Linked DNA regions of Zea mays. The protein of the gene in region 2 interacts with the protein of the main gene of each other region in a pairwise test. Links are inferred from orthologs where the notes say so. Each region holds a gene or a part of one and is shown on either strand. Other genes may lie near its edges. The genes, in order: Transcription factor bHLH128 and Transcriptional corepressor LEUNIG_HOMOLOG.

Region 1 (16,317 bases), on a different chromosome or scaffold from region 2:
CTCCATGCGCCTCATCCTGCGGTACCTGTTCTTGACCTGTGGGGGGTGTGAGACAGCAAGAGTGAGCTCACATACGTTCATCGCTCAGCAAGTTGTGGGGAATAATGTGCATGAACTCGCCAAAGGTGGGAGCTCACGTGAAGTGTAAGGCTTACCAAAGAGGATGGTTAGAGCTGAGCATTGCTTTTAAAGTTGGTCAAAATTTTATTAGCAATTACTAAGTATAAGTAAATACCAACCCAATTAAATAGTAGAACAGAAGTAACAACATCACCTGCGATGCAATGCATATGACAAATTGAATTTAAGTTCCATAAATTAATCATCAGAGAGTCCTGAGCTGCTCATGACCGTGAGCTCGGCTAGTATACCAGTTTTACACTCTGCAGAGGTGGTACCCTTTACCCACAAGTCATGTTACCCATCTGCCAAGAGATCGCGACTTCCCATACACCTCTACCGAGGAGGCGAGGCAGGGTAACACTACGAGGCCTTTACAAAGTTCCACTAGCTTCAGAAAACCCGCTACAGTTTATAGGAAGCTCCAATGCAGGAATCCCTTGTAGGACCGCCATCACAGCAAAATCCTCCCGAGGGTCTTCCCAGGAATCCCTTGCAGGACCGCCATCACAGCAAAATCCTCCCGAGGGCCTTCCCAGGAATCCCTTGCAGGACCGCCATCACAGCAAAATCCTCCCGAGGGCCTCCCTACACTGACCACTCCCCTACTGCCCTTGCCCCTTTCGGGTAAGGTAGTCCTCCACTAGCTTTCCTAATTAGTCAGCCAAGGGCGTCCCATTAAACCCTTGTGGTGGCACGTGGTTCTCAAGTTAAGCTCTATGTTCCAATTAACATTTAATGATCTTGTCATGAACATAAATAGAATAACAACATAATTGGAACATAGATGTAATGAAATATTAACCCAAAACCATATAAAGCAGTAGCAGAACTACCCAAGTGATTCAGGGGTAAACAAGGTATTCAGGACGAACAAACTAGGGTGACCTATTGGGTCCCATCAAAATTAACCTATGCAGATCATTATGATTAATCAGAACATGAGTAGGTAAAAGAAGTGATCAAGGGCACAACTTGCCTGGGACTTGAGATTCCAGGTACCGGGATGATCTTCAGGTGACACGTGACCTCACTGCTATTCGTAGCAATACAAACAAACAGTGTATGGGCAAAATTAACATCACAACAAACATAAGAATAAACTGAGTAATAATAATCTACGCGTTGCTACGATACTAACGCAACTGGAATGAGTCAAATCGGATTTAAAACGAATGAGATACGAATTTCCTAAGGTTTTATGTATTTGATACGAGATTAGTTAAGAAATAAATTTTAATACCATCTTCATGTTAAAACAGAGGTGCTATGTAATAAACAACATTATTACAAAATTTTAGGAACTGGAATGAAGTAATTTGGAGTTCATATGCATTTTCTATGAATTATTGAAGTTCTAGACATTATTTATACATTGAAAATCAATTTGAAATTTAAATTCTCGGGTTAAAACTATTCTGGACGGGGCCTCAATAACCAGAAAACTCAGGGGCTGCTCGCATAAAATTTCCCAGGCACAGCACTCCACTCTCTGGACGGCGGGTTGATATCCTTTAACCCTAGGGTCTCTTTAGCAAAAGGTGCAGGCCGAAGGGGTATCGGAGAGCACTGGCCGCCAGATCAACAACGGACGGCTACGATTAGAACTTATCTATTATGAAACGTTATGCGATGGCGTCCCTCGGATCAGAGACTGACGATCCAGATTTTAAGTAGCCGAGGCCCTGCCGGATCCGCCCGATCGTGATCCAAGGGCCACCACAGATCCGCGCGACGTTACATCCCCAATTAAATCCGGACCGCACAACAGCGAATCCACGGTTCACTCTAGTTTGTCCCTCCATCTAATCACGGTCGTCCGAGAAACATCTAACGGTCCGGAGCTTGCCTCCCCAAGCTAGCTACTGACGCGGCGGCGCCGTTGGCCCAAACGACGGAGAGATGGCCGGACTTTGGCCATCCCGTCCAGGAGGGCCCCAGCTTCAAATCTAAAACGCGCGTCATGCAATTCTAGGTATGGCGGACGCAAGGAAAGGGCACTCACCGAAGACGGCTGCCGAGACGACGCTGGCCACGGCGAGGGGCGGATTCACGGTGGTGCGACAGCAACGGCGAGCAATTCACCGACGACCCCGCCGTCAAGCCCGCCCGAAGCGTAACCATGCCATCCACGCGTCTATTCGAAGCCCCTAGACCCACTGGTTGAATCCCGAGCTGTACCGTGCGCGAGTTCCACGGTGGCGGAACTTTCCCCCACCCGCACCCACTCTCTGTCTCACGGCGAGGTGTGCTCAGGGCCTGCCCGGTGCTTTGTGATGATGGACAGGGAAGGGGTGGTCGTGACCCGATACTTGTAGGCATGGCGGCGGCTAAACAGCCCCGAAGCTCGCGGCCGCCCACGCGACATGCACGGGACGGGCGTTGCGCGGGGGAATACGGAGTCCGCGCGGTGATGTGCGGCGTTCGCAGCGGGGAAGAAGGAGTCCGTGATGGCCTGGCCCACTCGACAGGGTCACCGCGCGCGCCCAAGAAAGGGGGTGTGGGACTGACCCGTGGGTCCCAACGGTCAGTGAGAGTGCCCAAACGTGCAGGCGCAACAACAGGAAGGGAGGTGGGCTGGATGGGCCGCGTGGTTGAAGGCGTTTGGGCCGAAATGAAGTTGAGCTGGCCCAAGCAGTGTTTTCACCTTTTTATTTCTTTTCCTGATTTGTTTTTCCTTTTTATTTGAATTCAAATTCAAATTCAACCATGTGTTAATTCTTCCTTGGATTAAGAGTATAATTTTGACATACTATTATTACCCTATTCATAATATTTATTTTGTATATATTTTCTTTTCTTTCTCCAATTCTAAAATTTAACTCTTAAGTCTAAATTTTATTTTGGACATCAATGTATAAAAAATATCTTATTACTAACAAATGCACACACATAAAACTCAACATGATGTATATATATATATATATATTTTAATTTTAGTATCATTGTTTTAATTAATCACTCTCAATTATATGTGTGCTCTTTTTATGATGCAAATATGGCACATAAAATAAGGAGTTCCTCTATGTATTTCTTGTACACCATTTTGAGTATTACAGTGTGTACGCTGGAAATGGAGTTGCCCATGCCCTTCCAATATTTACCGTTGTTGGTAAGGTACCCCGCTACAGAGTTTTGTTTACTGTATGCGGGTAGGGTAACCTAACTAGATATTATGATTATAGTTCTGTCTTATTTGTTAAGTCTAGAATGGAACCAGTAGGTCCCCTAAAAATAAGCTGTATGGAATTGGTTTAAAAGTAAAGACCACATAATTGCGATAAAGTCAAATAAATTAAAACATTACCGCCACTACAGGAGTTTTTTCCCTATATATTGTTCTTTCACAATTATATGATTAACACTGCCGGAGTGCCGGTCTCTCTATTAGTAGAGTAAAGTAAATAATTCTCTAGATATTTTTAGCAAGATAATAACAAAAAAATAGAAATTTGATCAAACCATTTGTATTCTCCTTCGGTATGCATGGCCTTACCTCTACAGTTTGCACAGGTCAGTGGATCAACTGCCCTCCTGCTGCTTTAATCTCCGTCCACCCATGACCACGAGGTTAATTTGAAACCCACGGGCCAGCAATTATTTGTGGCGGGAAAGCAAGCCTGCTAGAACGATAGACAACGGCTCCGATGGACCGAAGGCAAGGCGAGGCCTCCACGGCTCCACCTCCACTGTCTCCACTCAACCGAGCGAGCGGTAGAAAAAAGTTCGGAAGAGCGAAAGAGGCCGCGGAAAAGGCGTGCAAGCGGCCGCGAGGGAATCCAATTCCAATTCCAATTCCAGCCTCACGTCCTCCCCTCCCCTCTGCCCTGCCCTGCCCTGCCCCGCTTTGTTTTACATTCCATTCCATCCCATCCCATTTTGCAGCTCCTCCTTCCGTGCTCGCTGCGCCCTCCTGCTTCCACCCCCGGCAGCGGCAGGGGCAGGAGGAGACGACGGTCGCCACCGGCGCCCTGCACCGGCGGATGTCGGATCGGGAGCTCCGCCCCCTGCGCTCCATCAGTACGTTCCAAACGCCGTCCGTTTCTAGCAGCGGTAAAAAAGATGGGCTTCTTTTAATTTTCTTCTGGTGGCGATCGGCGATCGAAAGGCAGGCAGGGTGATTCCTTGCTCCTTCTAGTAGCGGTTCCTGGCTTGTTTATCAGAGATGGTTTGGTCTTGGACGCGATCGGGAATAAAAGTGCCTGCATCATACAAAAAGACACCGTAACAATGATAAGCTACCAATGGCGTAGCAGCAAGATGCCTTTTCTAATTCCACCACATCCTTCTGCTTTCGTATGCATGTCTGTATATAATGGTACTATGGTAGCAGTTCTAAAGCTGCACCTTCAGAGATCCTTTGCTAAAATCAGAAACCAGATAATATAATCTCCTCCTAACAATCCACGCTACCAATCTTATAAGCCGAAAGCAACACTGCATGTTTTCTTTATGTGCGGGCAACGCCATACATCTGATGGCTCCCATGGAGGTGTTCATCATCGAGAGGTTCTTTCTGGTCGACAGAACACGCGTTATCAATTTCACTGACGCCGCCCCTCACGTTTAACTGCAGGAATCACAGGGGACGGTCGATGCCTGTTCAGGTCCGTCGCCTACGGCGCCTGCCTGAGGAGAGGAAAGCATGCGCCCAGCGACAGCGCCCAGAAGGAACTGGCCGACGAGCTCCGAGCCAAAGTGAGTGTCCGTTACACCTGGGCTTCTTGATTATTACTAAGCGCGTCCTTGTTCCGTGCATCTCGACAGAATGGAATAATCTCACCGTCTTTGTTGGTGCTAATAACCTGCCGTTGATCTGTTCCAGGTAGCTGATGAGTTCGTCAAGCGAAGAGGAGACACCGAATGGTTCCATCCTCTTTCCATTACTGCTTTTATGATATATGTATTATTAGTTTCCATGGACGTACTATCTGTTTCTGCATACAGACTATATATTCCCATACAGCAACTTTACACATTTAATTTGTTGATAGATGTCCTTCCATCCTTAATAAAGATCTAATGTCAAAAGAACATGCTCCAGCTCCCAATATACAAAGACGACTATGTCTTATTAACTCCTTTCCAATCTTAGGTTCCTTGAAGGCAGCTTTGAGAGTTATGTGAGACAGATGAGAAAGCCTCATGCTTGGGGAGGGGAACCTGAGCTGTTCATGTGTTCCCACGTTCTCAGGTCGGTATGGTGGCCAACCTGTCCGTGCTAAGTGTAACCCTTTTCTTTTGTACACATCGTTATGGTCACTTTGGTCAGCGAGGACTGAGACTGAGAAAACGCTGCGTTGCAGGATGCCCATCACCGTCTACATGTATACGGGCAGCTCCGACGGCCCAAGGATCATAGCGGAATACGGCCAGGAATACGGAAAGGACGATCCAGTCCGCGTTCTCTACGACGGCTACGGGCACTACGACGCACTCCAGCCATCTCTCGTAAGAACACAATCATCGAGACTGTAAGTATTCTGCACTGAACAGAATCCGACAATAGGCAGGCTTTTTTGCACTACTAGATTGCTCTTTTGGCTTCAGTGCTCTCATCTAGCTCGGAACCAGTAACACACCCCCCTCCCCTGGCCCTGTGGAATCTGCAGGCGAGGTGTGTAGGTCACCGGGGGCTGCGCTGCCTAAGCTTCTTCTACAGGACAGCTGCGTAACTGCGAGCAGCTCAAGATTTGACGACGCTATTTTTTTACTCCAGTTCCACACAGCCGTATAGCCAATACGAAACTATGCCTGGCGGCTTTGACTGTACCAGCCTTTTCTGTTCTTCAACGTTTGATGTATAAATAAACACACACACACACACAAAAAAAACTCGTCACCCGAGTCAGAAAATCAGTTGAGCTACTACCTGGTACCATGCCCAGCATCGAGTGACCGACCGTGTAAAGTTTCTTCGATCGTTTTTGCTCAACAAGAATGCTGCATAGAAAAAAAAAAGCTGAATAATGCTCAAGTTGTCATACTAAAATTCTCTTGGACTTCGTATGGGGTGGCATGAACGCTCGGTCAGTGCTCGGTTTCTGAGTTACGGTCTTGTCAAAATCCAGTGACACACAAAAAAAAAGATGAGCTCGATGAAAAATGGAGCACAGATGATATTCCTACAACAATTTTACCAGCAACAACAATCCCAGTCGCGTTGAAAGGGAGGACTTCTTTACACGAAAGCCAGAGCCACCGCGTCGCGGTAACTAAATTACAACATCGTCCTACTTGTTATCTCCTAGTCTTCAAGCCGTTGGCACCCCGGTCGCTAGTCCGTGGAACAACCAAGAAAAGAGGAAGCTGAGTCATGGAAGCCGCTCCACATGTCACGCACTTCTGCCCGCGGCCTGGTCTCCTGAAGCAACAGCTCTGGTTTAACAGTCACATTGTTACGGCGTAAAAACCCTCCTCCGTCTGCTTCTCCAGCATCAGCAGCAGCTCTTGTTGCCTAGGCAACAGCAGTTTGCTTGGTCGTGTTTTAGCTTCTGCAAGGATCCATGTTTTTTTAGGCATGGTAAGAGATAGTGTATTTTTGTTTGTAGGCATGTCGAGATAAAGACTCAAGTCACAAATATATATATATTTTTTGTTTGCACACCAAGCGATACGTACGTACCTCAACTTGGTCCTTGAGCTCTTTGATGTACTCCACAGCAAGGTCCAACATGTCCGACGTATTCGTTTGCTGCGTGTTCACGAGAAACACCAATAAACACGCTGACGAAAATGGGCGATGGCAACGAACAACAACGAGAACAGGTTGTTCAGCAATCCCGCACGGGAAAAATCTACGGATGACGATAATGAATGGCTATGGCTCATTGCAGATCTTAAGCTCAGCTTACCTTGTCCATGTTGGGCACGAGGTCTTGCAGCTTCTTCAGCCTCTTGCTGATCCTCGTCCTTCTTTCCTGAACGTACGCCAGCGAACAAGGAAAACGAAATTGGTTTCTGTGCTGACATCCAGCTAGCATCAAAGCTGGCAGAGTGTGGCACCATATATTGCGCCGTGCTTTTTTTTAGCGAATCGTTTGGGAAGGACCGAAGGATCGAGTAGATGAACTGACCCTCTCGGCAATGCTCCGTGGGTGAGTCGCGCAGCCACGCCTCGCACGCACTCTGCAGGCGACGGAGTCCTGCTGCAGCTGCAGGTAGTCGTCCATGCCGGGCAGCTCCAGGGACGAGTTGGACAGGCCGAACTGGACATACATACAGCAAGGCCAAAAAAAAAACAGCTCACTCCCGTCAGCATGGAACCACGCCGTCGATGATGCATGACGCCGGGGAGCGGCAAAGTAAGGCCAGAGCTAGGCACGGAAAGCGGCGCGCGCTGACCTGCGGGTCAATGGTGCTGAAGTTGGTGACCATGTCGTCGGCGCCGGCGGCGGGGTCCACCTTGGGCTTCTTGCAGGGGGCAGACGAGAACATGATGGAGTTGGTGTCGTCCCAGGAGCCGACGGAGAAGGTCCTGGAGAGGTAGGAGGAGGACTGCGCGGCGTCGCTGGAGCTGTTGCACCCGCCGGCGCCCACGATGCTCTCCCCGATGTCGGCCGGTATCATCCCCATCTCCGAGATCTGCGGCAGGTCCTGCCTGGAGAAGCTCCACTGCGAGCTGAGCTGCGCGTGGCCGTGGCCGTGGCCGGGGCCCAGCGCGGCGTCGCTGCCCGCCTGCGTGTAGCTCCCCATCGCTCCTCCGCTCGCCGCCATTCCTGCAGTGGGCGCATCCGGAAGATCGTCGAACACACGTCAAACAGGTAGACTATAGCTGACCCGTGCCCGCATGTCAGCGACTGTTCGTCGAGCTTGAGGTAAAAGGCATTCTTTTGGTATATTTATTTTAGTAGTATCGTTCCTTTTTTTCACGCTTTCTTCCTTTTTTTCATTTTAAGAAAAACAAGAACATTGTACCATCGATGATTTTTCTTCTTTATCGCGTTCTAGCTAGAAAGTAGTTGGATGAACGGCTGGTGAGTGCTGCTGACAAGCGCTGCCCAGCCCCCAGCAGGTTCGCCGTAGCTACAGCCGGATTCGCAGCGGGACGGCCAGGAACGGTCGCCCTCACGTCACCTAGGTCGGCAGCATATAGGCCGCCTTTCCGAAAACCGAAAGAGCAGACAATGGAGGGGACGGGACCAATCCGCGTGTATTTGTTTACGTTAATTTCATACTGTGGTCGCGATAGGATTCTTCGGCAAGGTGCGTTGCATTTGCACTGCGCTTGCGTACTACTGTGCGACGAACGATGTTGCGGCACGGATTCACTACCAAGGGAGCTAGGGAAGCATTGTTAATGAGAGCCGAGAACGCTGGACATGTGCGCCGGTGGGTGGGTGATCGACTTCGCGTCTCGTTCGGAGCTGGAGCTGGAGCTGGAGCTGGAGAGGAGTATTATTCTATACAACGGCCGCCGGGCACATGCCAACCAACCAAATCAGCGAGACCAACGTTATGCTAATTTACTCTAGTATTATTCTAGCTTAGCTGAAGCCGAAAGCGCAGTGATTACAGCTACCGCCATTTACTCTAGCAGTTTAGTTACTGTTACTGTTACTCCTACCTTGGGTTCGAATTCAACGTGCTCCTAGCCTGCCTCCCTAATCACGGCAAAGCCGGAAAACGACGACCGAGACACGTACCCCAGCAAGCGCAAGCTGGATGGAGTTACGCTTACGCAAGGGAGAGAGAGAGAGAGCATACGCACCGTGCGGGTCGGTCATGAGGCGGGAGAGCAGCCCGGCGGGGGAGCTGCTGTGGCGGAACAGCGGGGAGGCCGCGGGGGGAGCCAGCAGGTGGTGCTGCTGCTGCTGCAGCGGCGGCGGCACGCGGATCTCGCCGGAGCCGCCGTACGCCCGCTCGAGGGGCGGGCGTCCGCAGTCGGTGCGGCAGCTGGAGTCGCAGGAGGTGAGCCCCGAGGACTCGGCGGAGTAGAACCGGCTCACGGGCGGCGGCGGCGGCGCGGGGTCGCCGCGGGTGACGGAGTCGGCGATGGCGGCCAGGAGCGAGCCCGGCGCGGAGCCGTACCGGGCCAGCCCCTGCCCCTGCGCCGAGGGCGGCCGCATCGCCCCGTGGAGCGCCGGCGTCAGGTGGTTCATGGCTGCTGCCTGCCTGCGCGCGGGCCGGGCGATCGGTCGTGGACTGTTGCTGTTGCTGCTCCCTCTGCCGCTGCTCTGCCCTCGGCAATCAATCCGGCTCGCGCTCTCTCTCTCTCTCTGCCTGCCTGTCTGTCAGTGCGAGCGAGGCGGATGGTGGTGCGGTGGTGGTGGTGGTGCGTGCGCTGCTGCTTTTGAGCGCGGCGTCCGGGGGGCAGGGCCAGGGGGGATGGATCAGAGGTCTCATGGTCGTTCGTGGATGGGCGGGTGCACGCACCGGTTTCGGGCGTGGGGCCCACCCGAGATGGACAACACAGGGAAGACGGAAGATGCGGCGGGGGTTACAGGTGGACCGAGACCTGGGCGCCAAGTCAGCCGCAGGAGACGGTCATGTGCGTGCCAGGCCAGCCGACATGCTTGCAGCGTGTGCGTGCGTTCACAATCGCGAAGCTGACCGGACTGCTACTCTGCTCTTAGCTCTCTGTTGGGCTTTTCCGGGCCTGGGTCGAAGGCCCGTTCCTGTGACTGTCTCTTTCACTTTCTCCCTGACCCTTTGCCCTCGCGAGACGGATACTGTTCGGTGGGGATGGGATCAGATCGGATGCCTTGCTGGCTGCTGACGCTGCATCAGGATCAGATATTATTCAGGACACTAGTATACTTGCGGCTTTATATTTTCTACTAGTATCACACTTAGTTATTATACTGCTCTATTAAAAATCTTGTTACAAAATATTACATATATGATCAATCTAAGGGGTGCGACAGTTTTTCTCAAGGGACATACCTCTTGGGATACACCCCTTCACTTGTATATAAGTGTAATGATCTATGGAATACACACAACAGTTCTATCATTTATCTCTTTCAATCTCGTTACCACTGAGTTCTAACACGTTATCAACACTGCTCGTGAGAGAAAAAAGAATTTTCTGTTAGAGAGAAAGAATCGGAAGGCATCACTCGCTGTTGAAGAAAATTGGAGGGCTCTGCCTCTAGAACAACAGGAAGGTATTGATCCTACTGTTCATCTTTGCATTCGTCGTTTGCGTGAAGAACTTTGTGACGACCATCGGCCAAGCATGGCATCAACGGCTTCAGAGCGCCCGACGAGGCCCGACCATGGCTTGGCATGCGCAGGCACGCGCGCGCGCATAGGCCAACCGGACCATGGCGCACCGGCCCCGGCAGCGGGCGCGGGCGCACTCCGGCCCCAACAGCGGGCGCAGGCGCGGGCAGGAGCCCCTGGTGGCTGCTTGCTTGGCGCGAAGAACGGCGACGGCCGTCTCGCTGGCGTGAGGACTGGCGGGCGGATCCACCCGGCATGGCCAGCGCGCTGAGGCACACCACGCCCATGGTGTTTAGCGGCGCGGACCGAGCCAGCGGCTGTCCTGGCGGATGGACCCCGCGGGTGCGTCGCGGCCACGACGGTCGCGGACGCATCTCTCTAGTGCGGGCAAGGACTCCGGCTCGCTGGCGTATGGCCGCGGTGGCCCAGGGCAGCGCGACTCAACCCGCCTCCTGTGCGGGCAAGGCATGGGAGGCCTCGCTCTCCTGATGGCTCCCCGGCGCGGGCGCGGCCCCGGCGTGAGCCTTGGCTCGGCCGCGAGCACCGCCGCGGCGCGGGCGCTCCCTGGATCCCGGGCAGGTGCGGGCGCGGCCGGCGATGGCGTCGATGCCGGTCAACCATTGCTCGGTCACGGACGCCGCCCTCGACCCCATCACGGGCGTTGCTCCACCCGCCACGGAGTGAGCGAGGCTCGGGCTTGGCGCTCAGCGCGCGCGAACTCACTGACGCGCGGCTCGAATCGCGCGCCGGTGGCCATACTCCCTGGCGGCGGCTGGGAATGGGGCGGCTAGGGTTTCAGACACCCTAACCGCCCCCCGTTTTTAATGGGCGCTTGGGCCGCCCTGGCCTTGAGGCTGGCCGCGTGGGCCGCCTCGGCCTGGTGGCGTCCGGGCCGCCCCCACATCACCAGATTGGCCTAAATGGCATGTTTATCATTTAAAATTTCTGATTTTTTCAGTCACAAGAACTATGTGTTCGTATAAATTACTGAGTGTATCATTATTTGTACATCTAAATTTGCATATTTAGACTGATGATGATATATATAATTGTACATACTTGTCTGTTTTTATTATGGAAATTACAGACTTGTTAGTGAATTATATTTTCTATTTACATTTATAATTCACAATTTTGACTTGCTTTTGTTTTTGCATTCTCTTACGTTTGCATGGAAAACATAGCACATTAATAAGTCGAAACTCACTGGTCCTCATGCAAAATAAGGTTGCATTTTGGGGGGGAAAACATAGGGTGATGGAGACCTAAGCACTGGCTGCGCTAAATTTTTTATAGAATTTAGTAGCCCAGAGAACGTGCTTTAGGCTGCATTTGAAATGCCTATCACTATGAGGTCTACATCTTTCGAGATGATTACCTATACGTGCTACCCAAAAAGATCACGGACCATGTAGGCGTCGTGGGCCATGGAGCCAGGCTGGACGCTGCAGTCATGGTGACTGCTACAAGAATTCTTTTAATTAAGTTCTACTTAATTAAATGATGAATTCTTGCAAATATGATACATATCTTGAACTTGGGATTGTTCAACACATGATGGAGATCTAGGCTTTGGCTGCAATAAGTTCTTGGAATTTATTTGCCCTGAGACCAAGCTTTTAGACAGCAAAATGTTATTTGCCCATCAGTAAGAGGTCTACATCATATGGCTATGATGATTACCTATGTGTTCTTCCAAGTAAATATGTTGGAGATGTGATGTTGGTTATTCACCTTTATGGTGATTACCATTTTTTTAAAACTTTGGTCAAGCACAGGGTAGTGGAGTCCTAAGCATTGGCTGTGGTATGTTCCTTGAATATATCAGCCCAGAGATCATGCTTTCAGGCAGCAAAAGTTTTGCCCACTACTGAGAGATCTACTCCATTGTTTCATTACATGGAGATTATCTACGTTGTGTACACCAATTTTCAAAAATCATTTGGTACACTTTATGTGATACCTAGAGTTCTCCAGCATATAAAGATATGATATATTTTGCGACATATTATAACATCAGAAAATGTTTAAGCCATTTGGAGGATAATTATTTAATAGAGTTTGATGAACTCGCCTACTGGGCTTAATTATCATCAATGTTCATTGGATATGTTCATTGGATGTAAAGATCATTTTTGCATAATATGGGGATTCACTTCTTCACTTTGGAGGAAGTGTGATGCTCTCATTCTCTTATGGTTCTTATGAAAAGAACTAATGTGCTTTTGTGGCTTGATGTGCAAGCCCAAAATGAATAGCAAAGAAAATCATAAGACTTGTGGACTTATGAGTATGTGTCTACATTATGTTGTAGACTAACACTTTGTATTCAAATATTTTTGCTTGAAAGCAAATATATAAGAACATTAAAAAGGGAAGGGCAATGAGTATGACAAACTCTTTTGTCATTACACTATACGTGGTATAGTGTTGTATGCCTAAGCATCTAATTTTGTATATGAAATACCAATAGATGCATACTACTCATGAAAGCTAAGATATGAAGTGTACTTCAATCTTCCATCTGACATGATAACAGTGGTTAGTTGTGTAATTCATGATTTGGACTAATCATGTAACAACACTTCTTTTTCTAAGAGAAGACCACTTTGTTAGATGATTTGCTTTTGAGTACTATTTAAATGATGCATGAGATTTGGTATAATCTCATAATTGATAGGTTCAACTCATGTGATGTGAGTTGAACACACTCATGTGATTTGAGTGTAAAAACTCATATGAATTTGAGTTAAACAAACTCATCAATTGGAGTTGATCACTCATGTGATTTGAGTTGAACAAACTCATCGATTAGAGTTGAACGAACTCATCAAGGGAGTTGATGACTCATTGATTTGAGTTGTGCAAACTTGTACGGGGATTCTTCCAATTGAGGAAGAAACATGCAATGTGGAGAATTGAGCCACAAACTCTATAAGTGGGGAAACAAAATATTCTCATATTCCTTTGGAAAGAGGAAAGAATATTTTGACAATCGCTTCGCGTGATATCATGATATGTTATTATCATATCCCCTTTTGGTATTGGAAGTATCAAGGATGCGTTGATACATCCTAATTGTTATCTTACCATATTATAGAGATATCCATATAATTTCTATCATGTGGAAACATAAAGTGATAGTGATGGATATTGCATGTGTTTCTCGGAAACATTTCTTATGGATTGTATTCTACATACATCCTCTCGTACAATGTGTTGCATTTGTTAAACTTTTCATGTGATGTTACTTACCATGCGGGTAAGATTGAATTGGTCATCACATTGTTGGGATGAAATGAAAAGTTATGAACAATTCTATTGGTCATGTTTTTCCCATAAGATAGATACTTGATGAGTATCATTGGGAATGAGATTTTAAGTCCCTCTTATCTTAAAATCTGATCTGATTTGGTTAAGTTCTTTGAATTGTTTCAAAAGAACGAGTGTGGTCCATTACATAGATGGTATGGACATTGAAGGCTTTATATGGTTATTTGGTGCATCTATATGATGACCTGAAGTGTGTTCTTCGGACAACACATGACCATTAAGTAATAATGTCTCAACTTGAGCACATTAGCCTCCACACTACTGAATTTACCAAATGTGCTTACAATGATGATTGTTTGTTTTGGTATTCAGAATGATATCCATAAAGGATATGATGAATCTGTGATAGATTCGAAAATTTCAGATCATTAATGACCATCTGTAATGAATTGTCATTTCCAACCAGTTATGGTTGGAGTCAGGAAGTTTGCACGCTCCTGACTTGTGATTAACTGCATGTACTACATGTACAAGTTCCCCTACGATTTTTTAGTACGTGGGAATCCATGAAAGATTTCCCATGCGTACATTGGGTATGTTTTCCCAATCTCACCACCGCAGCGTACATGTATGGGCACACAGAAAGCTGGGGATCTATGTGAGAATTTATTCTCCGTCGATCATTAAGTTTTAGAATCTCTTCATGAGAATCTATTTACGGCCCGTACGCTTGCTTGAATCATGAGCTTTTCCAGGCATTAGGGGGAGATTTCGAGTACCAAAATGAATGCCAGGAAATTATAATGAATGCAGTAAGCATTCAGGCTCAGGATCACGTACTAAAACTGAACCTTTAGGTTCGAATGATTTGCAAGAAGTTGCAAATTGACTGCCATGTGCATTTACTAAAAGGTGTCACTCAAATTAATCCTATGTGAAAGTGCCAGAAAGAGTGTTTACATGGAAAACCACTTAACTCCCTATTGCAACGTAGTTGTAAATAAGAGGGGGAGAAGTATGGACACAAACTGGGATTAAGATGCTTGCAAGCAGCTGAAGGCAAGACCTTCTGAGATAGTAAATGCAGACCATCTATTCGTTGGTAACTAACCTAGTGTTGGTGGACACCTAAAGGATATTGATTATCCTGTGAATGGAAGACATTCACAACCTAGCTCAGTGCGCACTGATGAGGCTAGGTTATCGGAAGCCCTTTATTCTCGTTTTGGGATTTCACGAGAAATCATAAGGGTGCATAAGAAAATGACTTCATGTCAACTGGAGAATTGTGTTATTTAAAAGCTACAAGTGTTGACACATACATCTCAGCAATTGTATATGCGCTCCAAGTGATCCAAAAGTCTATGGCCATAGCAGAGCACGAGTATGCTCAAATTGGATCTTGTTGAGTGATACAATGTTGCAGAGATAGCCTTGCTCACCGGAAAGAAGTGTTAACTTATTTTCACTTCAAGGTATCTTACTGTGGATACAAGTTTGTTTTCATGGACTTGGAAACAATGAGGTGGTGAGAAAGCATGGCTAGTAGCAACTGGGTTTATACGCAAACCCAAGCATTATTTTAATGCTATAAATTCTCTTCTACTGTGAGTAGTAAAATTCCGATACAATACAAAGGGCAGTAAATCATCTATCTGTGCAGTTGATAGATGTAGTGACAACATATGCATATGTGGTCACTAGATTATGGTATATGTGGAGTCTTGAAAGATTCCAAATACATAATCACCAATCACAAATTTGCAATGCTTGGAAAGTCTTTGTGACTTAGAGCATCCTGGTCAAATATGGTACATTCGACCTAGTGAATCCTTCTTTCTGAAAGGATACACAAAGTATGGTATGTTCAGTGTAAATATGTGCAGCGTATTTTAAACATACATTACTTATCGACAGAGTTCGAGATAGAGGATATGAATTGAAAGAGTTTTTCAATTCAAAGTAAACTATCTTGAGTATCTTGGATACAAAATTGTCTATATCCAACATATATTGAAGAAATTCAATATGAGAGAATCATTGTTATTTGATTCTTTCCGATCATGAGATGTGCTATTGTATCTTGCAAGAGCATCCGACAGGATATTGCTTTGCAAAGATTTGCTAGCTAACAGCACATGAGATCGAGTTATGATCTCCAGGTATACTCATGTTCTCCTTATGTTTGGATATATTGATCTTGGATATCTATAGAAGATCCCCAGGTACAAGATCAATGGCATACTTCTGGTAAGTTGGACCTCCTGTTTGATAAATATCAATCAACAGAGGTTAATGGTCACTTACACTAATCATTCTCTAGCACACTTCGTGGGATTGTACAGAATGATATACTACATACAGAGGGTATGTGGTGGTCATGATTTTTATATCACTGACCTTATTATCTATAAAGATAATATTACTTTGTGTTGTTTAGATGAAAAACAAGTTACAAACTAAGTCTCTACCTTACTCCACATTTTAAATGTGTTTGAGAGTATGTATGGGATGACTTAGTGTTTTGTAAAGATCAGGGGGAGTTTCCCTTTTGATCGGAAGAACTTGTTTCTACATCATGTTGTACTCTTTTCTTTGCATGAGTTTTCTCCCTGTTTGGGTTTCTCATTCAAAGTTTTTAACGAGGCAACATCAACACAAGGCCTATGTCGTATCATCTATTTTCCCATAGTGGTTTTCGAGGATGATACATTATGACATAGTTATTGTTGTATTTGAACTAGGTGATGAGTTTAT
Region 2 (16,320 bases):
CTTTTTGCACGCTCAGTCATGAAACTTCAAAGAGTAGAAGGAATATAAGCAACCTTTATGGCACGCAAGCATGCAAACTGGGTCACATTCCAGTACCGGATTTCACCACTGCCATCACAAGAGCATAGAAGGTCTGTTTTCTTTGGATGAAAATCTAATGATGTGACCTGGCCGTTGTGCCCAGTGAATGTATGCAAAGAGAATCCAGGCTGCAAAACGTGTGAGCATAAGAAATGCTGTAATGCAAGTGCATACAAAAAATCTGAGGCTTAAGGTTCAAGGTTAGTAACACAGATGGCACAGTTCACCCAATATATTGCTGCATTTAAGTAGGATTTTCATAATATAACACAATGTGCAGATCAAAACAGAAAAAAGAAAAAAAATGGTCTTTACATGCAAATTCAATCATGTCATGGTTGGGCCTTGCTACATTTTGAAACATGGTGACAATATGGATAAGTATAACTAGATTTGCAGCCATGAATACTAAAAAACACTCCATATCTTAATAGCATGCAGGTGCACTAGTGAAGTATGCAGTAGGATAATGGTAACATTACTATAGGATGGATAATAGCATAATATCTACGGCCCCTATAATGGATAAGCAAACTAACTTACATCGGCAGCATTCCATAATTTAATAGTTCTATCAAAAGAAGATGTTGCCAGCTGACTAGAGTTAGGCCTGAAACGGACATCAGTGATAATAAGGGCATGCTCTTCTGGTGTATACTGTGTCTGAAAATTTTCCATGTTCCAAAGTACAGCCTACAACAAAAAAAAACGAAGTACGTCATTCTCAGAAACATCAGAGGCTCCATAAAAAGTGCCACTTGAAACCAAAATCATAACACAAGACAGTTTTTTCATACCTTCTTTTCATGTCCTGCACTAGCCAAAATCTTGCCATCTGAAGAGAAGTGGCAGCAAACAATTTTGCTGTTGCTTGTGCGCCAACAGTTGACTTCACTGAAAGTAAAACCTAGAAACAAATGGACATGTCATTTGAAGTTTGAATTTTGTTAGGAAAGAACATCACAGACATTACCTTTTGAAACGGCTGGGCTAGGCTCTGCAGGACTTCTTTTGAGTGCAGCAAAAATATCCCTGGGATCTCCATCATCATTGGATAAGAAGGATTCAACATTATCGTCCAAAGAGCCCACATCACCAAACTGCTCCAGGTCATCCTGTCACATACAACAATTGTGTTACCCATCTATATATCATATAACAATGATTATATACTTTAAATGAAGAGTAAAAGCTGTAACCATTTGATTTGAAGAGGAGGCAAGTCCAGTTCCATCCGCACCATAAATCATTAAGTTCTTTGGAACGTGGCGCATATTACCACCCATTCCAAGTCCATCCCCAGGAGTATGTGTGGATGGTGTAGATGGTGGGGAGTTTGCAGGACCCACAGTGTTTCCTGTACCGGTACTATTTGCTGGTCCTGAAGAAGTAGGCTGCTTTCTTTTTCTATTGTTCTGGAAATAACAAATGATTACAGAACAAGGAGGTATAAGGTTGGCAAGCACATCGGTTCTTAGGAAAAAAAATTGTAGTAACTTATGCAGTGAAATAAAGAAAAGGGTAATTAGCCTACTATTCAGCTTTAGTTGCCAAGGACCATATAGCATGCACCAACTAAAGAAAACAAATTCTTTATTACAAGTTTACAGTATGCAAATTTACATATCGTAATTTCAAATTTGGTCTCCAATATGCAAAAAAGACAAGTTATGTCAACCTATTTGGACAAACATACCCCAAATCTATGCAAAGGCAGGAAATATTGAAAATAACATGTGGATATAAAGCTACAACAGTGAGCTAATTTTAACTTTCAAATCCATGGAGATCATCGCAGCTGCAGAAACAGGGGGCAGGGCATTCCAAACAACACCCCAGCTGATCGCACCAACTTTTATCATAATGTACTATGTTAGAATACACTGAATATATGCATGAATATGTAATCACGGAAAAATATCATTAATTATCCAAGGGCTCTAACCCCATTGTCATTGATTTATCATCACTGGCAGGATTTGCATAATTGCAATAATTTAGCATCCAAACTTTTAAAAAAAATCCATTGAATCTGATGCCACCAGCACTGTTCTTTACACATCACTATGTAGCATTCCCTTTTGGCATAAATTTTTTTCCAAAAAAACTATTGCTTCCTCCATGAACTATCTCATGTCATTTCAGCATCTTCATAAGAACCCTTCCTAAGACGCACATCACCACTCACCAAATAATTTTCTTTTCAGGCTTCATCAGATAACATATCAGTACTATTGTGCACTCTATATTTTATATTTAAGTAACTTAAGTTTGATGATAGAAGAGCAACAATAGATGCATAACGCCACACTGTTGTTGGGCAAATTTAAAGTTTCAGATCAACAGGGGAAAGCCCACAGTTCAAGAATAGAACAGGAAACGGTAGGTTTGGCATCCTTTCAGTACCTGTTGCATTTGTTGTTGGCTCTGTTGCTGCTGTTGGTTCTGCTGCTGCTGCTGAAGCTGTTCCTGGGGTTGCTGGGAAGATGTCTGCTGCATCTGGATAGTTTTCAGATATAGTAAGATACCAACAAACTAGAGCCAGAGAATGGACAACCTTAAAAGAACTCTAAGCAAGAAAAGGACACAGCAAACCCAACCTTCATGAGATACTCTTGGTCTGGTCTGACTTTGGGTGAACTGGATTGCATAGGGGAACTAATACAACCATCCGTTCCTGCAGGCTGACTATCTTTACCATTCAAACTACCCCTGGTCAATGCTGTAAGTCTGCGGGGATCAATATCCCCATAATTAGTTGAGTTTCCAAGGTTCCCTTGTGCTTGGGCCTGTGCTAAGTATTGTTGTTGCTGCTGTGGGGACATAAGTTGGAACTGTGACTGTGTTGAAAGAAATGGCTTCTGCATTTGAGCACCCAAATTCGGCCTTAACTGGTCAATTCCCTGTAAAATGGTATCATGGATATTCATATGTGGTCAGGTTCCAAAAGAAAATATGAGCACATAAGATGACATTTTTTTCATAGCTCACAGTTAATGGCCAGCCCTTCAGTGGTAAACCGCTTACACCTTGGTTCAGCCCTGTTCAAAAATATGAGCTGTTAAAAATTAGAAATCAGCAGAATGTGAAATGTATGACATTCTTGAAATGAATGATTCACATCATAAACACCCTGATTAACCAAAAGAACCATTGTAGTGAGTTACCCATTAATAGCCAACATATCCATCTGTTGGAACATTGCACTGGTATGGCACAATCTAATCCATCAAAAGTTAATACAACAACAACAACAAAGACTTACTCCCAGCTCCATAGGAAGTCAGGGCTAGAGATAAAACCTAACAGAAGCCAGAAAAGGGGATAAAACACTCAAAGAAACAATGTATCAACGGCAGCAAGGATAGCAAGAGGCCAGGCATGTGGATTGCTGAGATCCAAACACTTATCAGGGTCCTATATTCCTATTACAGTGCAAGAATGACAGGACACTAGGACTATAGTTCAATGAGAGATGCAACCAACTTTACAATATAAATTTGCAAAAAAAAAAAACTGATTATTTTAGAACTGTAAAAAAGTTGGGTTGCTTGCATCCAAAGCGACTAAAGTTTTACCATCAATACAAAATTTATATATTGAGATTGAACATTTCAAATGATGAGTGAGATTTAACTCCAACAGTAGTTACATAATATTACAGTTTTGTTGTACTTTCTAATTATATTAGAATAAAACTATCACAGGCTACATTTAGGGGACCATGACAATGTTCATAACCAACTTGTTTAATCATTTGCAACTGGAGGGAGTATGTATCTGCAGGCTGCAGCGGTAAATGACTGGTGTTCTAAAGTAATGTCTTTATAGTGAGTGCTAGTTTGGCAGCATAGGAGGAACTCACAAGAAACGAGGGAAAGGGCCCACCTGCACCGCTCAATCCAGGTTTAGGTTGAATTAATCCTTGACCGTATAAAGATGATGGATCCATGGGTAAAGATCTCTGGGGTACTCCCATGTTACCTTCACTCTTAATATCCTGTTAGAATTTAGAACATTCAGGTTATCAGTGCATATGTTCAGTGAACTAGTGTAAGAAATTGCGAAGTGAATAGACACATGATGGAACCAATAACCTACAATCGTTTGCTGATTCCGTGCCTGGATTTGCTGCAGAGTTGTAGACACATTTCCAGGAGTCCCTGGAACTAATTGCCTAATTGCACAAAAACAGTAAGTTCTGTGAGTACCACAAATGCTTCAGTTCTAAGTTTCTAACTATCTTTCTTTTTCCTTTTATATAAGTGTGTAAGAGAAAATGGGAGTTGGTGAGCACCCTGCATGGTTTGTTGCTGACTTGAGAAGAGCCATTCTACTAGCTTCAATAAGTTGTGATCCCTCAGACTCCATTGAATGTGGGTGCTTCAATCGCTCTTCATACATCTTGGCAGCTAAGACACTAGCTGTTGATGGCCCCAAAATGCCCTCAGAATTTAAAGCATTTATTGGACCATTAAGTGAAGGATGATTCGCGTTAGTTCGCTGAAGTTGAGCATGTCTTTGATGCATAAGTTGCAATTGCTGCATCTGCATCTGCTGCTGGTGCTCTCTTGCTTTTATTTGCTGTGCCTATTTCCAACAGAACATAGATTCACACTCGGTGAGATTAAGAAAAACAAGAGGTGCATTGTAGATTAAGAAATCACAAAGCTACCTCTAGATATGCCGCTGCAACTTCAGAATGCTTTTCATTTGTCCTTGCGATGAATATATCCCAAAAGACAGACCACCACTCAAACAGAAACCCTCCAGGAGCATCAATTGCTGCATCACAATTCACAAGTCAAGCATAACATAGTCACACTTATGATGGATTCCTGGGCAAACAAACTAATGGAGAGAAATAGTTACAAAAATATCACATGAATGCATGTGATCTTGGAATGGGTAGGCATCCGTCACATATATCTTTTTTTTAACAAACGCAGGAGAGTTGTGTATCATTATATTAAGAAGAAAAAAACATAGGAGAGACAGGACTTGTCAACCCCTAATACAGAGGCCCCTAGGCCGAGACCCCCCTCACAATAACACAACGCGCCACGCACACAACAACCCGACCAAAACGACCACCAACAGGCAAATTGCTAGGGTCCCCTAGGGAGCTGGTGCAGGAGGAGGAGGTCCTGCAGAGCTGATGCACCAGCCAAACACCAAACGCTGCCCTCCTCAATCACAGCACTCTGAACTCGCTGGGTGCAGGGCACAACCCCCTCAAAAACACAAGCATTACGGTGCTTCCAAATCACCCAAGCGACCAAAATGATCAAGGAATTAAGACCTTTCCTTAGACTCTTCTCCACTTTCTTGATACTTTGGCACCACCAATTTGAGAAACGAGTGCATCCAGGCTGAGGTACAATGGCTAGGAGGCCTAAATTGTGTAGTATGGACGTCCATATTTGCCGAGCGAACACGCAGGAGACAAGAATATGCTGGATGGTTTCCTCGGCCTGATCATACAGAGGGCAAGCAACTGGATGGGGCAAACCTCTTTTTGCCAGTCTATCAGTTGTCCAAACCCTGTTTTTGATTGCCAACCATACAAAGAATTTGCATCTTAAGGGGGCCCAGGTCTTCTAGACACGTCGCCAAGGGCCAAAAGGGATAGAGCCAACAAAGAGAGCATCATAGGCCGATTTGCTACAATAAGTACCATGGGCAGAGAGGCGCCAGATGTGTTGGTCTGCGATGTCAGGTTGCAGAACTACCCCATCAACCAAGTTCCATAGCTGCAGATACTCCACTAGGACCGTTACAGACAATCCTCCCCGAATATCTGACACCCATTGACGATTTGTGAGCCCCTCGGCTACTGTTCTTCGCTTTAAAGCCCTTCTAGAAATCATTTGGATCAGGGTTGGACAGTGTTCAACCACAGTTTTACCAAGGAGCCAACTATCAGACCAGAACTTCACAGATTCACCACTGCCTACCACTGAGGTAATAGCCACATCAACGAGGGCCTTTGCATTACGGTGCACTCGGATAGGGAGACCAGCCCATGGCCTTGACGTGTCAGTCTTCTGTAACCAAAGCCACCTGGCACGTAAGGCCCATCCAAACATCTCCAAGTTGAGAATACCCAGACCACCATACTTGAGAGGCCGCTGGACAGCTTCCCAGGACACAAGGCAGTTACCTCCATTTGCGTCACCTTGCCCCTTCCAAAGAAAGCCTCGTCTCCTCTTATCGATTGCCTTAAAAACCCATTTAGGGAGTTCTAATGCAAGCATAAGATAGATAGGGACAGAAGACAGCACTGTCTTAACCATGACAAGACGACCAGCCCAGCTGAGAAGATTGGTTTTCCATCCTGGAAGTTTATCAGCAACTTTATCAACAAGTGGCAAGAGATCAGAGTTAGCAAGCCTACGGATTGATAGAGGAATCCCCAAGTAAGTGCAGGGAAAAATTTTTGTAGCACATGGTAATAAGGCAGAAATGGTGGTCAGCTCATTCGCTCCACATTGAATGGGTGTAACAGAACTTTTGGAGATGTTCGTTTTTAGCCCTGTAGCATGACCAAATATGTCTAAAATGCTGATAATTGCTGAGATATCCTGATGAGAGGGCCGCATGAACAAAACAACATCATCAGCATAGAAGGAGATACAATGTTTGGCATGTTGATTTGCAATCGGCTGGAGGATATGTTCCCTGAAAGCATAACTGACCATCACATATATCATCGTTTCATACTCGGTCCTTCGCTCCTTACTCGGTTTGAGATCTTTACAAGATAGCATCTTTTAGATACTAGGAATGAAGGTTCTAAACCTCTAATGTAACAGCAGTTGTACCAGTTACCCTTTTCGAATATCCTGTCTTTCGTAAGCAAGAAGTCTATCTTTGACTGATGTGGCAATGGTACATTGGTACTATTTCGATAACCATTTTGTAAGGATATTTATAACAGTTTCGAAACTGGACTCTACCCTATTTGCTGACATTCTAGTCCTACCATACATCTGAACAATATGCCAAATTATATTGGCATTGCTTGTTGATCAATGCATGTGGCCCCTGAACATGAGATCCGCACTTCAGATGATAACTACACTGCATCAGTTATTACCTATCAAATCAAAATCTCAAGAAGAGCATGCCAGTGGTGAGAGTTGTCTCACTGAGTCACCAGGCCGCGGGTTCATAGCAGCCTCTCCGCATTTGCGGGGGAAGGCTTGTCTCAGTTTATCCCTTCCCCAGACTCATGCAAAAGCCTCTGGCACTGGATCTACCCAAATCAAAATCCAATACACAGATCGGTGGTTTCTAGTGCACATTTGCATATAAGTTATGGGGATCCAATTTTGCTACACAGCTGCAGTTTTCTTTATCAGAAATGAGTTTCGCAGTTGCCCTACAAGTGTGCCACCCAGTTACATCTATACCTGTTAGACAGATCTCTGTATATGGCAAATGCCTTGCTGTATATGGTAGTGTAGAATATGGTAGTCTCTGATAGGAGATTGATATGATTGAATTCCTGCAGGATCTGTCCATATCCTGCAGATCCTCTAGACGTAGGAGGTTTCCTTTAGCCTCAAGTCTCTCTCCCCTATATATGTACATGTATCATCTCCTATTCAATACAATCCAATATTCCTACCAGTCTTCTCTGCTTCCATGGTATCACGAGTTTAGGTTCTACACCTCTTCACGCTTCCGCTCCAACGCGCCTCATCATCGGCGATGCTTCATGGCTGGCGTTCCCTCGCGCCTCTCCACGCCGTCTCCTATGCAGACACCGTTGACTCTGGGCTTCTCCAAAACACCGACGCCCAGAACACCGCTGCTGCCGATCTCCTGTGCATCGCCCAGGAGGATCACGCGCGTGTCGCCCAGGCTGCTCGCATCGCCGTACTAGCTCGCGTGGCCAATGCCGACCAGGAAGCCGCTCTCGCACAGCAAGAGCGGGACGCCACAGATTCTCGCGCTCGTGTGGCCCGTGAACGTGCAGCTGCTGCCCCTCCCCTCCTGGATGAGCTCGCCACCTCCACCGATGACTCCGGCGATGGCACTCCTCTTGGCGGTGCCACCTCTTCTCTCCTGGATGCGACTTTTCTCTAGCACGAGGCCACCACTCTGCTCAATCTTCACGCCCAAGCCGTTGACATGCAGATCATCCACGCCCTCGTACCACTTCTTCTCGACACCAACTCCAACTTTTGCGCCCGATGGTGTGAGTCTTTCCTCCTCACCCTCACCAAGTTTTCTCTGGAGCATCGTGTCCTCTCCGACGACGTCGCCTCACCAGACTGGGTGCGGATGAACGCCGTCGTCCGCACCTTGATCCTCGGCACCATCTCCGACAACTTCGTTGATACGGTGTCTCAACGTGGTACCACTACCCGTGTTCTGTGGCTCTCCATCGAATCTCAATTCCTCGAGAATCGTACGCCTCGTGCCCTCTATGTAGACCAGGAGTTCCGCTCTTTCTCCTAGGGTGATCTTCCCGTTGCCGAGTATTGCCTCTGCTACAAAAAGCTCGCCGAGGATCTCGGCGAGCCCGTCTCCAAAATATCTGAGGGGCAACAATGCAGCGTCTGATTCTAATATGTATTAGAACAGATGACACAATCATTACATAAATCTCCAAAATGTAAGTTATTATGTGACCACGCAACAGGGTGTATGCTCCGTTGCAACACATGGGCATTTTGCTAGTAAAAGATTAAAACAACTATGCTGCTATAGTTAAATTAGCACGTGAAAACCAAATGTTAATTTCTAATTTTGGCATGTATGATTTTGTTGTAAATTGAAATCCCTATATATAGGGATGAAAACAGGATGGACATTCCCTGGTATCCATCCATCTAAAACATGTTCAAATACTAAATGGATAATCCGTATATGAATCCAGCCATTTAATATATGTACTGTATCTGAATCTGATACTCAAAGTAAGATTTCTCATATGTAGGATGGGCATCAATATTCAACGATATCCATATCTAACTCCAAATCCCAGAATGAAACTACATGTATTTGCATCCATATCTGTAATATCCATTCATATCAGGTTCAGTTTCATACCTAGTACGAAGACTCCCAGTAGCTTTCCCGAAAAACATATTAAGAACAAACAATAATAGTAGTAATCCAGCAAGTTTGAACATTCAGGCAAAGCTTTGGCACTTGAGAAAAGCATAACATGTTGAGATTATTCAGTTAAATAGCATTAGCAAATAGCAGCAGCATTTAGGTAAATTGCCACTGATAGCTTAATAGTTAGTAGGGGCTATACAGATGGATCATGTTTGCTATATGAGTGATACTCATGCAGCTTCAGCTCTGCACGCAATCATAATCTGCAACCCATCAATACAATAACACCACCCACTTAACATGTACTAACGCAAGCTATTATCTAAATAAATGTACTTTAAACAAGAAAGCAAGAACGAGAATAGTAGCAGATATGAAGTGCACTATTGCATTTGGAGTTCTAAATTTATTACATTTCCACTAAAGCACCTCTCGACAACACGACAAAAGTTTAGTAACATCACAGGAGGCATCACTTCCCGCTTCCATCGAATTCATGTGTATTAGCATGCAAAAACATAATGGCACACCGCCAGTCCCCTCAACAACGGCAGCTAACGACGAGCATTATCTGCTTAGATATGAAAATAACATCCCGCCATTTCCGGCGAAGAGTTATGCACCCATCTCTACTAAAGCTTCACAGGCTCCTTTGAACTCTCACGCCCACAATATTGTTTCAGAACCTCTCCGCTCAAATTTTAACAAAGCTCTCCAAACCAATTTGAATTGCCATTACCTGCACTCCTGTTTACTAAAACCCAAATTGTAGATCAATTCAGATTCCAACCATGTGCCCTACTTGAGACAAACACACACAAAAAAACCTATGGAGTATTCCATACTAAAAACTCATATCAGAGCTGAAAACACAGCCCACTCTATCTAGTTCAAAATTCGAATTCATCGCCAGCAACCAACAGCTAAACTCTTGTGCACCGTCACGAACAAAACCTAACCCAGCAACAAATGAGGAAGGGCGAAGCAACAGAAGAGAAGGCAACAATTACCAACTGGATCAGCAGCAACCTTTCCCTCGGTCATGAAAGCCTTGGCCGTCGTCTGCAGGTTCCTCTTCAGCAGGTAGTCATAGATATACACGTCGAGCCTGCACCACAAGAAACGGAATCAACCCGGACCGAGCGAGGGGAGCAAAAATTTGACAAGAACAAGCGGGGAGAACACATCAGAAATCACTCACATCTTATCCGCTTCCCAGTTGCTCTGCGCCATTCTGCGACCGCTGGCCGAAGCGGAACGGAACAAAAGAGGCAAAAGCAGCAGAGATTAGGGCCGGGGGCAGGCGATTCGGTGCCGAACTCGAAGGGGAACAAGGGATCAGAGCCCACATTACCGGCTGGGCGGGATCTCGCGGCCGAGGGAGCGGGGTCACAGACGGCCTCGAGAAACTTTTCCCGCAACGAGCCGCCGTGCGGGCGGCGAGCGGGGACGGGTCCAAATGCCCGATCGCGGGTGGCCGCGTCGGCGAGCTCGGCGGCGGAATTAGGTGGTGGGTGGAGAGCGCGCGCGCGCGGCACGGTGGTGTGAGCTGCCCTCGCTTCCGCCCGCGCCGCTTCGGAAGAAGCGAAGCGGAGTTACTAGTAGTCTAGTAGTAGTAGATGAGAAAGAAAGGGAGGAGAGAGAGAACGGGGTAAGCATAGCATAGCAGAGAGTGAAGGAGAAGAGGCATGGGTCGACTCGGCTCGGTAGGGTGAGCCAGTACTCCGGTTCAGGAAGGTTCAGATGACAGGCAGGCAGGCGTCAGACAGTTTTGCACAAAGATCCTCGACTAGACTAATAATTACTCGTACAGCAAGTATTTCGAAATTCATATCCCTGGTTGCGAGGACCTTTAAATAAATTTTTGATGCAACAACCTCCTTTTTGAAAAAGAAAATATATCTTCTTGATGATGTGATTGATGTTCATATAATAATATAATGGTAGCAATAGTATTGTTAGGAATGGAGATATTTGTGCTAGCTCGTCATATTCCAAACGTGGAAGGGCCAAACTGCGATTCGGCGTACGTACAGAAAGAGAGAGAGAGGGAGAGAGGTTCGGAGGCAGAGGAGTAGGCTCGGAGGCGTGGGGATTGGAGGTGCTTGATTAGGCCCGGATTACCATGACCCAGCTGGTGCGCAGGGCCAAACACCGCGCACGGGGCCTGGCCAACCGCGTGGAGCGAGGCGATGGCTTGGCCGGCAGCGGCTGGCGGCGTGGGACGCCCGCTGTTCGCCAGGGGATTCGTGAAAGGCGGGAGGAGGAGGGTGACCTCTCACACACACAGTGACCATGTCTCGCACGTTTTTGTGTGAGGTCCCTGCGGTCTTTTCTTTTTCTTTGATGTATGTTGTGTTTACGCACTTCTTTTTTCAGAGAATATCCTTGCCTTGCCGTGATTGTTGCTACCGCAGCGTTGTTTGGCTTCGCTGCTCATGGCAGCTGATCAATCGAATGTGTTTATCAGGTTTTCTGTCAACGTCAAAAGAAAAACGTTATATATAAAATATATAAAAATGGAAACGAAACAGTAAAAAGGTGTCCTGGCAAACACTAAAAGCCTAGTAGTACTCCGTATGCCGTGGCCACAGCAGAGACCACAAGCACAGGATGCGGTGAGGCCACCCCGAGGCTGCTGCTCTGGGGCCTGCGTGTTTATACGGTACGGCCAGGCAGCGAGCGATCCTCCTGCCTGCGCCGCGCGTGAGGTGGTTGAGTGGAAACAGAAGGCGGGCGGAGGAACGAACCATTCCCATTCATCTGCTGCTGCCTCTCCTGCTGCGCGTTTGAGTTTCTACAAGCACTGCTCTCCTTCCTTTTTTACATATTCTTTGCCATCGCGATATCGGCTGGGCATGTTTATTTTCGTACCGCTAAAGTTTAGCAGCTACTGAAGTTTTTACTAAACTTTAGCATTTGAGAGTTGTTTAATACAAGTACTAAATTTTAGTACATTATCGCTAATTAATGTCAGCTTTACAATGAGGACCAGTACAAGAGGATCATATGATCGTTTGGGGGAGACAGAGAGCAAGGTATTGGGTGGTGGAGAGAAAGCAGAGAGAAATAGAGATGGGGACCACTTTTATTATATTTTAGTATCTTTGGTGGAGCTAAGGTATTAATAGATGCTAAACTTTAGCACAACACTTTTAGTTGTCTTGTTTGTTCTTTACTAGTAGCTAAATTTTATCAAAAAGTATAGTACTAAACTTTTTAGCAAACTTTTTAGCAAGGACACAAAGTGGGCCTAATGCTTAACTAACAACTACTATTTCACTAATTAGTTAAAGTAGTTAATAGCAACTATAAGATATTAGTTAGCTAACTGATTTAAGCATAGACACGATTATGTTAGATTGGATTTCAATCCTTTTTATACCACGAATAGAGCTGAAGAGAATTTAGCTCAATGGCACTATTTGCCATGACTACAAAGCAAAACTCCAAAACAAGATAACCAGAGCCAGCAAAACTCATTAAATCCAGAGTTGTAAACTCCATAGAGTTCTAAGAGTTGTCATATAAATTTTTAGAGTACCTCTTTTGTTCCTCCAAAATCTTCAAAAACAACCTATTACCTATACATAGAGTTGGAGTTAACTCGTCATTGTTACTGGTTATAAGAAAGCAATATAAACTCTAGAGCAGACCTGCTCCACCCAGAGTTTTATAGTAGAGTTACTCTTTAAGTCCATAGAGCGCCTTAGAGAGCTTGTACACATGGTCAGGGTATCTGTCATCCTCGAAGCCAAGGGTTGCTCCACATACACCTCTCCTCCTTGATTGGCTCATTTAGGAAAGCACTCTTCACGTCCATTTGGTAGAGCTTAAAAGAATGATGAGCAGTATAGGCTAATAGTATACGAATAGACTCAAGCCTAGCTACAGGAGACCTTTTACCTTGTCTTGATTCTCATCTCCAAAGATGATCGTGTCATGAGAATCCTTATTCTTGACGTAGGAGGTGAACATGTTCTTCTCCCCTGTCGTGTGGTTTGTGCATCCGCTATCAATGATCTTGCTTGAGCTCTCAGATGCATAAACCTACAAGATATTTAGGCTTAGGATTTAGGTCCCTAACTTGTGTTGGGTCCTATCAGGTTAGTTACATAAGATTTTGGAACCCATGCAAGTCTTACCTTTCTTACATTTTGGTCCCACATTTTTAACAACAATTTTATCATTCTTGCAATGAATTACATAGGATGCATCAAAAGTATGGAATAGAATAGAAGGTCCATGCGATGCATTCCTATCCTTATGCGCATGACAAACATGGCGTCTAGTTTTACTTCTATTAGAATCACTAGATGAAGCAAACATAGTGCGAGGAGTAAAGATACCATCATGACACATTGGAAAATTAAAACTACCATTACAAGTATAGTGAGCATTATGAGAAATGTTCTTAGCATGAGAATTAAAAAAAACATGGTTCTTCTTTTCATGAAAAGAATGCAAGCTACTAGCCATATGTGCCTTCTCCTTCTCCTTTGTAAAGTTGAGGGCCTTTTGGCTGTTAGTGTTCTTGGTTCCCTTTTGAAAACTAAGTCCATCTTAATGGATGGATGTCTACCAATGGTGAAGGCATCCCTACCAAATTTTACTTTCTCTACTTCATTTTTGCAAGTTTTAAGTTGAACATTTAGGGCTCGTTTGTTTCTGCTGGAACAGACCAGGATTAATTCCAAATCTCCAAAATTATAGTAATTATTGAAGGAATCCAAGCCAGATTTATTCCACCCCTTCATTCCATGTGAAACGAACAGGCCCTTAATTGAACAATTTCATCATTCAACTTTGCAATAGTAGAGGCATGATTACTACAAAAGCATCAAAATCATGGTCTTTACATTTAGCACAAATTGAAACATGCTCCACGGATGAACTAGCAACACTTAATTTCTCTATTCTAGCATTTAAATCGATATTTAAACTCTTAAGTCTAGTAATAGATGAATGGCAAGAATACAATTCAAATGCAAGCATTTCATTCTTATTTACTTCTAAAGCAAGAGATTTTTATACTTCTATTACTTCATCATGTTCCTCATAAAGAAGATCCTCTTGCTTTTCTAGCAATCTATTCTTTTCATTAAGAGCATCAATTAATTCATTAATTTTATCTATCTACCTTAGATTCATCCAAGCCCTTCAAAAGATTGTTAAGTATACTTATGAGTATCACATGTACGTACCTTCTTCTCTTTTGCCATGAGGCAAGTGTGATGTGCATTGGGTAAGAGGGGGGACTTGTCAAAGACAGAGGCAACAAGTCCTTCATTGTCAGAGTCGGATGAAGAGCAGTTCGAGTCTCAATTCTTGCCAATGTGCGCCTCATCATTCTTTTTGTAGAACTTTTTCTCCTTCTTCCCTTTCTTGTCTTGTTCCTGGTCATTCTCATTATAGGGACATTGAGCAACAAAATGACCAGACTTACTGCACTTGAAGCATGAACGCTCTCCCCTTGATTTGTTCTTGTTGGGGTAGTCCTTGCGTCCCTTCAATGCGGTCTTGAAGCGCTTGATTACAAGCGTCATTTCCTCCTCATTAAGTCCAACTGCCTCAACTTGTGTCACCTTGTTTGTAAGCGCCTCCTTGTGGGTTGTTGCTCTGAGTGCAACAAGTTGCGGCTCGTAGTGAGGAAGATGTTCATTAGCGATGTCGTCGACGTACCTTGTTTCTTTTACCATCATGCGCCTGCTTACAAACTTACCAAGAATTTATTTGGGCGACATTTTGGTATACCTGGGGTTTTCACGAATAAGATTAACAAGATGAGGCTCGGTAACGGTAAATGACCTTAACACGAGGCGCACGACGTTATGATCCGTCCATCTTGTGCTTCCATTGCTTCAGATTTTGTTCATCAAGGTCTTGAGCCTGTTGTACGTTTCAGTTGGCTCCTCATACCCCTTCATGACAAACCTCCCCAGCTCGCCTTTCACCAACTCCATCTTGTTGATCATTGTGGCATCATGACCCTTATGAGAGATTTTAAAGGTGTCCCATATTTGCTTGGCATTATCTAAATCATTAACCTTATTGTATTAATTCCTGCATAGAGATGCTAAAAGGACAATGGTAGCATTGGCATTTTTATGGATTTGCTCATTAATAAATATGGCATTATCATTACTATCAAAATGCATTCCATTTTCTACTACTTTCCAAATGGTAGGATGAAGAGAAAATAAATGACCTTGTATTTGAGTATTACAAAGTTCAATGGTTGTTTGTTTCATGAGAATTAAAGTTTATGGTTGTATATATATGTTGTATATCATCTTGATGAACAAGTTATGTAGATCAATTAGTATTTACTATGGAACATGAATTGAGAAAATTACAAATGACCTTATGATTTTTTATGTAAAAACAATAAACGGTTTATATGGACGGTTCAACAACAAAAACCCATTTTGAATTTGTTCAGATTTGGTTTGGATAAACCTGTCGGTTTTGCAGGTTTAAAGTGTTGGTGGGTAGCGTTTTTTTGACACAAAATGGTTTGGTGATCATTAGTGTTTGACACAAAATGGTTTGGTGATCATTGGTGTTAATAGATGTTGCAGCGCTGCACGAAAACGAGTTTAATTTGGGTTATTAGTTTCGGATTAAAGTCATCCGAGCGAACCAAACTGGCGCATGTATGCACGGTAAAGCGTCCTAGATTCTAGCTCGCGGGAGTAGCAACAATCAAACAAGCGATTGGCAGCAGGAACAATGCATAGCTGACGGATTAAAACATGTAGTAGCGAAGTAGCGAACGTAAATTAGCATATCTCACCAAATTAACCGCCCATAGAGTAATACGGTGGGCAACAAGTCCGGCGGCCGCAATTAATGCCAACCCAAATAATCGCACGAACATATCAGGAATAACTTCTCCAATTTTTTCCATACGGCGGCGGCATCAGCATGCAGATGACAAATTCCAATTCCCATGGAACCGGAACGCGTTCACAGCCTGATTCGTCTAGCCCTGCTGCATCGTGGCGCCGTCGCCGTGGCGCTCCATGACCCGGCGCATGGCCAGCGCCGCCGCCTCGCTGGCCCGTAGCGTACCGCTGGCCATGATGGCCGCGAACTCCTTCATCACCTCCTCCTGCACCTTCCCCCTGGCGCTCCCGAGCGGGTCAGCCGCAGGAGTAGGGG

What was found.
Region 1: the proteins of Transcriptional corepressor LEUNIG_HOMOLOG (region 2) and Transcription factor bHLH128 interact in binary tests that used the Arabidopsis thaliana proteins (3 or more experiments, as listed by UniProt). The link is inferred for Zea mays from reciprocal best matches to the Arabidopsis thaliana genes LUH and AT1G05805.

What each region holds. Positions count from the first base shown.
Region 1 is NC_050098.1:171,112,625-171,128,941, forward strand, and holds Transcription factor bHLH128, read right to left. Parts: upstream 9,424-16,317; 5' UTR 9,222-9,423; coding exon 8,831-9,221; intron 7,839-8,830; coding exon 7,465-7,838; intron 7,329-7,464; coding exon 7,197-7,328; intron 7,041-7,196; coding exon 6,975-7,040; intron 6,847-6,974; exon of another isoform or gene 6,815-6,846; coding exon 6,746-6,814; intron 6,615-6,745; coding exon 6,558-6,614; 3' UTR 6,204-6,557; downstream 1-6,203. Other genes in the region: uncharacterized protein LOC100275661, read left to right, coding at 4,104-4,140, 4,697-4,818, 4,946-4,986, 5,216-5,314, 5,427-5,594, 5,733-5,745.
Region 2 is NC_050100.1:223,733,716-223,750,035, forward strand, and holds the start of Transcriptional corepressor LEUNIG_HOMOLOG, read right to left. Parts: upstream 10,781-16,320; 5' UTR 10,511-10,780; exon of another isoform or gene 10,506-10,510; intron 10,400-10,505; 5' UTR 10,390-10,399; coding exon 10,358-10,389; intron 10,265-10,357; coding exon 10,167-10,264; intron 4,867-10,166; coding exon 4,757-4,866; intron 4,672-4,756; coding exon 4,379-4,671; intron 4,259-4,378; coding exon 4,183-4,258; intron 4,082-4,182; coding exon 3,970-4,081; intron 3,123-3,969; coding exon 3,073-3,122; intron 2,985-3,072; coding exon 2,682-2,984; intron 2,581-2,681; coding exon 2,488-2,580; intron 1,497-2,487; coding exon 1,281-1,496; intron 1,197-1,280; coding exon 1,055-1,196; intron 989-1,054; coding exon 879-988; intron 775-878; coding exon 625-774; intron 210-624; coding exon 54-209; intron 1-53. Other genes in the region: uncharacterized protein LOC100283457, read right to left, coding at 16,142-16,320. UniProt on the Arabidopsis thaliana protein: Transcription repressor subunit of the SEU-SLK1 and SEU-SLK2 transcriptional corepressor of abiotic stress (e.g. salt and osmotic stress) response genes, by means of an epigenetic process involving histone modification (e.g.